2 linked regions of the Mus musculus genome follow. The protein of the gene in region 1 purifies or fractionates together with the protein of each later gene. This does not show direct contact. Links are inferred from orthologs where the notes say so. Each region holds a gene or a part of one and is shown on either strand. Other genes may lie near its edges.

Region 1 (4,485 bases):
TATCATGTCTCAGAAAAAGTTCAAGATACCATTAAGATAGCAAAATGAGTCCTAAGCACAGTAAGTCAGTCTAATAAAATCTGTGACGGCCCAAGGAAAGCTGTATTGTGTGGACAAAGTAGATTTCCCCTCAGAAAGAGCACGGCATTCTTCAAAGGGCTACACTTTTCACCTACACCTTCTAAAAGACTGCTTACTCTTGGGCACTTTGAAAACCCTTCCTTAATAGATATACCTCATTTTCTCAGTTAAGTTCCTGTACTTTACCTATTTATATCTACACAAAAAGTTATGGCAGGGTTAATATGCTTTTTTTTCTAAAGAGTTTAACATTTAACACATCACTGATTCTTTGGAAATTATTTTTAAATTCCCCAATGTCCAACCTTAAGACTGAGCTTCTTAGATGGGTGCAGTGGTGTATGATCGCACTTAGTGGAAGGCTGAAGTGCGGGGGCATCCTCAACAACAGTAAATTCTGAGTAGCCTAGGCATACACTTTTAAGACAGTTTGGTTTTTGTTCTTGTTTTAAGTGAGTATATTTTTGAATCTTCTTTCCCCAACACAGATAGAATACTTGGAGCTTTAAGTAGGACTTACTTGTAAACATCATTACCTTTCCTTAAGGTTTCATTCTAAAGAAACTTTTGTTGTTACTATGCTGAGACAAGGGCTTTTCATACAGCACTGATTGTCCTGAAACTATGTGGACTAGGCTGGCCTCAAACTCAGAGATTCCCCTGCTTCTGGCTCCCCACATGCTGGGATTAAAAGCATGCACTCCCATATCCATTCAATGTATTTATTTATTTACTTTTACTATTCAAAGGGAATATAGTTTTGTTTCATTAAAAAAAAAAACAGAAACTTGAATGGAGACCCACTTGATCCATTTTGTTAAGTGTCACACAATAAGAAGTCTAATTTTAGAATAAAATCTAGTTCTGCCATTTGAATGACTTAGATATCACTCATCTGGATCTTTTCATACACATATGGGCATAACTGTATAAGCACAAGATTATTAGGATTATTGAAGACAATACATATCAAGTAAGCTTCACTCAGAGTTTGGTAAGGAACAAGCGTGCCATATATTCAAATACACACATGACAAGCAGCAGTGGCTTCTAATGCCAAGCCAACCTGTGTTCTGGACATTTCATCTTTTTTCTTTCCAGCTTTCTATCCTGTAATAATTAATACTTGGTTCAATGACCTACCCCAGGCAAGTCTAAACGATTTTCAATATCAAAACTGATGTAACTGTATTTGACCCAGCATTCTGAGAAAGAGGGACCAGAAACTAATGAATGCAACATTACAGTGGGATGGATAAGCACCTTATAAGCACCTCAAAAGATAGAGCAAGAGTGTGGCTGACAAGATAGTCTTCCTATCATTCACGAACCACTTCTGTATGCTGAAGGGCTTTTAGAAGGAAGTACCTGAAACAAAACCGATTCCAATCATCTGTTCTTAGACTAAAAACTTAGTTTTCAGACTTGAGTTCAAATAAAACTTTCACTTTTCAACATTTTATGGCAAAAGGGACAAAAAGAGAGTTTAGAAAGCATGAACTATTTCTGGGAATCTTGGAAAGTAAGACATAAATAACCTGTATTTTATTTCACTACTCTTCACAAAACTCCATGGCATTAAAACAATCTTAAAATCCTAGTTTATTTATAAAGGAGCAAGTTCCTATGTTTTAAACTCAAAAAAAAAAAAAAAAAAAAAAAGTCCTATGTACTAAAAACCGGGGGTGGGGGGTGGGGAAACATCAGAAATATTTAAAATTCTAGATCATTTCAATGATTGATTGAAACACTGTATATCCCCGTTGCCCAGTACAGCAGCCACCAGCCACACTTAGTTGTCTGTGCACGTGACATGTTTTAGTGTCGCCACTGATTTTAATTTTAAAGCATTATAATTTTTTTCAAATGTGGCTGGCAGCATACATAGTATGAATACCTCACAAGTCCACTAACTTAAAATCCAACTATCTAAACTCTGGAATCCCACCTCAAAACAGGGGCTCATTAGTAAGACAAGCAAGACCTGTTACCTACTCTCAGAAAATAAACACCTGGTTTGCCTTTATGTATTTGTCCCAACTCAGTACCACAATCAAGTGGCTAACACTGGGTTGAAAGGGAGTCTTGTACGGATAGTAATATATAAGTTTCTACCGTCGTCATACCTGAAGTAGGGGCTGATTGCAGCAAGAACGTTTCTATGACAGGAAAATGTTTTCCCGTGATCCACTTCCACTACAATGTCTGTCAACTGTCCTTCATCGTACATTGTTTTGAGTTGCTTAAGAATACTGCAAGCATGGAAAGGATCCATGGTATCGTTGGCTGTGTCTGAAGATGGAATCCCATTCGGTGTTGGGGAAGACTTACTTAAATCTAGGAGAAAAATCGCACAACCACAAGAAGTTCGAAGCCAGTTTACGGCATCGTGGGTTTTTTTCCCCCCCACCCCGTACACAAACGTCCGTGTGTGGGCACAGGAGCGCCGACACAGGCTCTAGGAGCCGAGAGCTCAACAAGGGCGAACAAGTTCCCAGGCCGGCGCGCTCCTCCGGAGCCCGGCGAGCCCGGACCGCCGCGCTCGCGGAGGGAGCGTGTGAGGCGAGCCAGCCGAGCCGGCAGCGGCGGCGATGCGCGGGGACTCGGCTCCGGGTCGAGCGCGGGACGGAAGGCTCCCGAGGGCAGCGCGATCGAGGGCGACTGCCAGGGCACCCCTCAACCGCCTCGCGGGCGGCCGGTACCCAGACGCCCCATCTTCGCGGGCGCGCCGCCCACCGCCCTCCTCCCCATTCATCCTCGCCTCCGCGCCCGCCGTCTCTCCATCCTTCCCTCCCGCCTTAAGGCCGCCGCTTCAGGTTGTGGCCGGCGCCCGCGCTCCTGCTTCCCTCCTCCGACACTGCGGGCGGCCGCACCACGCCACCCACCTGCCGACGCGGCCATTACTACAGGGGCCCCGGCTCCGGTTATTTAAAGAGGAAATGTCATTGCGTTTCGCTCGCTCCCGGGTTCCGGCTCTGCTAAGCGTTGCCTAGCCAATGAGGGTGGCTGACCGAGTCGGCTCCTCCCCGAGCCTCAAAATACCTGGCTCTGATTGGTCAGTGCGCGATTACCAGCGCGTCGGGAAATGTAGTTTTAAGGCCCCCGTTCCCGCGTGCTCCTAGTCGGACAGAGGCCCAAGCCGAGCATTTCTATTGGCTAGCTGGGCGGAGGAGCGCCCCGAGCCCGCCAGCCTGTGCCTTGAGATGCACAGCGCCCGCTGGGAAATGTAGTCATCTGGCTGAGGCGAACTGTCACTCTGAGGAGTGAGGTAGGAAAAGCTCTTATTGAGCAAATTTCCCCGGCAAGGGCCTCTCTCCTAGTCTCGACTCCACTTTAAAAATAATTGTCTTCATACCCCAAATTCCCTATCCGTGACTAGATTCTGGTATGAAAACGCGCTCTGCACGAGGGCTATGAAACTCCGAAAAGTTGGAAATGGTCAGGAGGGCTGTTATCCAAAAATACAAAGGATATAAGACAACCCCCCCCCCCCCAACACACACACACACACCATCGATAGGTCTCTGATGAGTCACCTGTAACGCCCACTTGAAATTGCATCCCCTTAGCCACATGCCCCGCTTTTCACAGATCAACTGGGTCTGGTTACATGGCCACTCAGGACCTGAATCCACTTGGCTTGCATTTCTAGCACACCAGGAAACACCTGTCACACCGAAGAGCGCTCGAGTACTCAAGGGAGACTCGGATAATTGATTTCCCCTGGGCTTCTTGAACGTGAAGAGGGCCTCCGGCTTTCCTGTGAAGAGATGCTGGAGAGAGGCTGAGCCTGGCGCTCCTCTGGACCGTGCTCAACCCTGGCTCTTGCACAAGCTCTTCCAGCCCTTGAACCTCTCTTATAACAGCGAGCACTCGGCATTCAGTCTACTTCATAGTTTTTTGCAAGAAAGCAGGGGTTTTATTGTTGACCTATTTTTTTTTCTTCTCCTATTGTGTGTGTGTGTGTGTGTGTGTGTCTGTCTGTCTGTCTGTCTGTCTGAGTCTCTGTGTGTGTGCATTTGTATCTGTGGTTTGGTGTTTTGTTTTGTTTTGTTTTGTTTGCACGAGTGGATGTACATGTTGGGGGGCGGTGCAGGTGCACGTGGAGGCCGGAGATTGGTGTCAGAAATCCTACAACGCTGCTTTTCTACCTTATACAGTGAAGCATGGTCTCTCAATCGAAACCCAGAGATATTAACTCTCTCTCTCTCTCTCTCTCTCTCTCTCTCTCTCTCTCTCTCTCTCTCTCTCTCTCTCGGCATGGCAAGCACTTTAATCACGGAGCCATCTCCCCAGCCACCTTGTTATCTATTCTGATTTCCTCATCCTGTTTCTGGCATCTAACAGGATGCTCTGACAAGTTGTAGAAACTTAAAAGATGAATGGAAAGCGAAGTGAACAAAT
Region 2 (4,577 bases), on another chromosome or scaffold:
ATATCAGAGGGTGAAGCTTGGTAGCACACACAAGCTCTGTACCTCAAGAGCAACAAAACAGCGCCTGCTCCAGCCTCACCCAGGTCTCAGAGAACGTCCTCCATGTGTCAGGTACTATGTTTCATTTTGTGGCTCTGTCTCATATAACCCATATGGCTCTGAATTTAATACATAGTGAAGGCTGGCCTTGAACTCCTGATCCTCCTGCTTCCTACTTGCCAGAGATAGGATTGTAACAGGCACCTTTGCACCTAGCACAGCAAGATGTAGATGCTAGAGATGATAAGACAGATAAGAGAGAAAGAGAGAGAGGGAGAGAGGGAGAGAGAGAGAGAGAGAGAGAGAGAGAGAGAGGAAGGAAGGAAGGACAGACGGATGGACAAACTAGCTGAGGCCCCCTGCTCCAGGTCCCACAGGCAGCAAGAGACAGAGCCAAGATTCACATTAGCTGGGAAGAATCCCACGTCCAGCACACCTAGAAGTAGTGAGCCATCACCATCACAATGAGCAATGTTCTCCTAGGCTCTTAAGCCCTTCGGATGAGGCTGCAGGCCAAGAGCACAGATCCTGTGACCCTGTCATCTCCTCACTGTGTATCTGAGCAGTAGTCACCATAGGGGGAAACCGATGCTCAAAGAGGCCATAGCTGTGCTCTCAGTGAAGGTAGGGTCGTCTTCTCATCGCCTTGAGAAACGCATGTCAATGTCTGGGGTCATTCTTGTTGTCATTACAACCAAAGTATACAGGGGACACCTATCCATGTCAACATTCCGAGGTACACAGGACAGCCCCACTACACAATGACCCCCACACAAGGCCATTGCTGGGGCCTTGGGAAGGGGTGTGGGTTCCCAGCCTAGACTGTCAAGCTCTATGTTCAAAGTAAAGGTGTCAGAGAAGCACAGAACTGGCTGAGGCTCCACCTCTCTCTGCATAGCCATCATCTCACCCTCACTCCCCCCACCTCCCCACCCCCACCCAGGGTTTTTCTGAGTTGCCCTGGCTGTCCTAGAACTCTATAGACCAGTCTGACCTCAAACTCAGAGATCCCCCTGCCTCTGCCTCCCAAGTCCTGGAATCAAAGGTGTGCACTACCACCACCAGACCCTCATACCATTCCTAACCCCATTGCCTCCTCCAAAACAGAAACAAGACTCTGTAAGGTAAAAGTGTTTGACCCAAGAACTCATTAGGGAAGGCAGCATTGGTATTTAAACCTGGCCTCACTGAACAATACTCTGTCATGACCAGGCCCCACCCACTGTCGCCCACCAGCGCCCCCAACCCAGCAGGCAAAGCAGGTACACAGCCAGGAGCAGGGCCAGCTCAAGCAAAGAGGAGAGGTGAAGGTCCTTGGCCCCACCTCCAGCAGAGAAGGCCTGGGAATGTGAAAAGCATGCAGGCAGGGAGGCAGGGCCTCCTGGGTCCTCCTCCTCGGTGACTCACTTCTGCCCAGGGACAAGGAGTCACTTGAGGGCAGCAGGGCAAACGCCTGGCCTGGTCTTGAGGAATTAGAAGGTCAGCTTCTCCACCTGCCATTACAGATCTGCAGACAGCAGACCAAGAACTGTCACCTTGGGGAAACCCTCTTGGCAAAGTGGCTAGGAACCCAAAACCCCACTTCCTGAGATTTCAATGCCTGGGGCGTTTCCAGAATCTAGACAGGACATCCGTTTGCCAGACACAGAACAGACAGGCACGGAGACGGTGGAACCAGGCAGCAAGTCCAAGCGGGAATGAACATAAGGGAGAAGACGGGACGGGGACCAAGATGTAGGTCCAGCCTCATTCTGGGAATCACAGCCTCCATGTGCGTCCTACTCGGGACACACCAAGCACATGCATGTACTGGGACAGCCCTGCACAGCCCTCAGTGGGCTTGAAGGGGAGCCGGCACCGGTGCATCAGCCTGGAGGTCTGACCTTGTGAGATCGGCAGCACCAGATACGCCCAGCTCCTCGGCAAGGCCGGCAGGCCATCAGCAGGACTGGGGAAGACGGGTACAGAAGGGTACAGGGGAGACATGGGGGCAGGTGTAGAAGGAGATGAGAACCAGTTACACAGGACAATGGACTGCATGGTGACGAATTAATGGAGCCACAAAGATACAAAGATCTCAGATTTTGGGCCACTGAATTAGAGTGGGGAGTCAGTCACCCCGACCCTGACCCTGCTTCAGTAACGCCCAACAGGTCACACAGGGAAGGCCATGTGGCTGGCAGATGCCAGTCACAGGTGTCTGTTGCGAGGGAGTAGAGACCCAGCCCTGTCACCTTCCAGACATAAAATCCTTCCTGTCTGTGTGACAGGACACGCCCCACCTGGGTTACAGCTCCATCTGTCAGCCTGAAGGGTGGTTATGGGGAACAAGGCGGAAGGAGGAACCCGGCCTCAGGCCTAGTGAAGTGACTTAGACACTTCCTCCAACAGGTGCCCATCTGGGTGGCGTCAAGACCATCGTAAAGACGTCTGCAGGCGGGGGTGGCCCGGGCTTTGTTGTGCGGGGGAGGGGATCGGGCCGGGCACTCCTCCGGTCCGGGGCAGGGTGCCAGGCACCTGCTCCAGGTGAAGCGGCACCTGACAGAAACCGAACGCTGCAGGACCCAGAGTAGGATGTGGGGACGACAGGCACCGGGATCCGCAGCTAGCCTCGGACACCGAAGTGGGGACCCCGCTACACACGCTGACTCTCGGGGAGGGCCAAAGGAGGGGATGCTGGGGTAGAATCCCGAACAGCACCCCTTCCTCCGACCCGGTCGGCGCCTCCACCTGCTACAAGGGCCCGCGCGGGCTCCCGATGGGGACCTCGTCCGGGACTCTACCCGTGCCTGGGGTCCTCCGCGCCTTCTGGCCGCCCCGCGGGTGCGGACAAGTCGCCTACCTGTACGGCGTCGCCGGCCATGTCCTCCGGCCGCCCGCCAGGGGTCCCAGCGCCAAGGAAGGGCTTGCGAGCGCGCGGGCGGGTGCGGCGGGAGGCGCGGCGCCCAGACCCTCCCAGGCGCGCGGCGCGCTCCGGCCTGCTGCGCTCGGCCCGGCCTGGCCAGGCCTCCGCCGAGCTGCGCCCTCCGGCCCCAGCGGCTGCAGGGTGGGTCACGTGAGCGCCGAGGTCCGCGCCTGGGGAGGAGGCGGGGCGGGGGCGGGGCTCCCGGCGGCCCCCGGGGCTTGCAGCGGGGAAATAGGGTCCCTGTTGGCTGTGGGGTGCGGCAAGCGCTCCTTGTAGCGTAGGGGACTCTGAGCGGGCCTAAGCGACCGCGAGCCTCAGAGGCCTTGTCCCCCGCCTCCAACCCCTTTGAATGCAATGGTCACCGTCCACCACCACCCTCGACACACACGGCCCAGCTGCACAGAGGCATCCTCCCTCCCGTTTCCCGGGAGGCAAACACAGGGAGAGCCTGACTTCAAATCCCAGTGTCCTGGGCCTTGGGGGAACACAATACCCCTCAGGACTAGGATGTCTGTAAAACTTGAGGAAGAGTAGGGCAAGTGTATAGATCCCAAGTGCACAATAAATGCCAGCAGTTGTCACTTTTAGCTCATTTTTTTAAAGACTTTATTTTGATTCATGTGTGTTAGGAATAAGTTTCGGGGTGGCAAAGAAAGAGACCATCCTTCAAAATGAAATGTCCGAACAAGGCAAACTTTACTCTTCATCAAGACAGTGCGCTGCGGAAAAGCAAAGAGAAGACAGGAAGTGCATATGGTTTCTATTCTAACTCAGGTGACCTCGCAGTCTTATTCAATTGGCTAGTCTGAGAAAATTGGCGCAGAGGAAATTGAAGGGGAAAGGGGTCACTGCTCCAAGCGATCAATTTCCTAGAATGGAGCGGGGGGGGGGGGGGCGCTTTGTATAAACAAAAGTTTTACTGGGTGAGGAGGATTAAAACATCTCCTTAAAAGTCCTATAAGGTAGGAGAGATAATGATTTTAATTACTGTCCAAAAGACTAATCTTATACTATTTGCTAGAAAAGACTCATATTTAATTTCTTGCATGTGTATATATGTGTTTCTTTGTGTGAGTTATGCACATGTGTGTGGGTGCCTCTGGAGGTCAGAAGAAGACATGGGATGCCCTAAAAGGAAGTTATAAACTGTTTGTGGACTGCACCACCTGGGTGCTGGGTCCAGACTTGAGTTTTCTACAAGAGTAGTATTGCTTCTATCTCTTCAACTCCTATTTTAATCTTTATACCATTTATTGAGTGTGTTCACGTGCATGTACCACACATGCCAAGCCAAATGTGTGGTGGCCAGTGAGTGACTTACAGGATGGCTTTTCTTCTGCACCCTATCATTTGGGGGGGGCACCCAAACTCATCTTCCTAAGCCCTGAACAGGCCCAATACTCCATCACTGAACTCTCAAGACTACAGTAGAGGCTTCCTTCCTTGTCCCCCAGCCGCCTCCTCCTTACAGTCTCTTCCCCAAACCGCATACCAACGGAGCCTAAAGTCTAGACATTTCCAGGAGGAGCCCACCAGGTCCTGTGTCACCTGCCGCCCTTGGTCACTTGCCACTCGCTGCTTCAGCAAGTTGACACCCTCATTATAGCTCAAATGTTGGTGGAGTGAGTTAAAT

What was found.
Region 2: the proteins of Kbtbd8 (region 1) and Pkn1 purify together in Homo sapiens (affinity purification with western blotting; 3 studies listed by BioGRID and IntAct, with this or other methods). This does not show direct contact. The link is inferred for Mus musculus from reciprocal best matches to the Homo sapiens genes KBTBD8 and PKN1.

What each region holds. Positions count from the first base shown.
Region 1 is NC_000072.6:95,116,456-95,120,940, reverse strand, and holds the start of Kbtbd8 (kelch repeat and BTB domain-containing protein 8), read right to left. Parts: upstream 3,062-4,485; 5' UTR 2,983-3,061; coding exon 2,967-2,982; intron 2,419-2,966; coding exon 2,208-2,418; intron 1-2,207. UniProt on the Homo sapiens protein: Substrate-specific adapter of a BCR (BTB-CUL3-RBX1) E3 ubiquitin ligase complex that acts as a regulator of neural crest specification.
Region 2 is NC_000074.6:83,696,086-83,700,662, forward strand, and holds the start of Pkn1 (serine/threonine-protein kinase N1), read right to left. Parts: upstream 3,095-4,577; 5' UTR 2,903-3,094; coding exon 2,882-2,902; intron 1-2,881. UniProt on the Homo sapiens protein: PKC-related serine/threonine-protein kinase involved in various processes such as regulation of the intermediate filaments of the actin cytoskeleton, cell migration, tumor cell invasion and transcription regulation.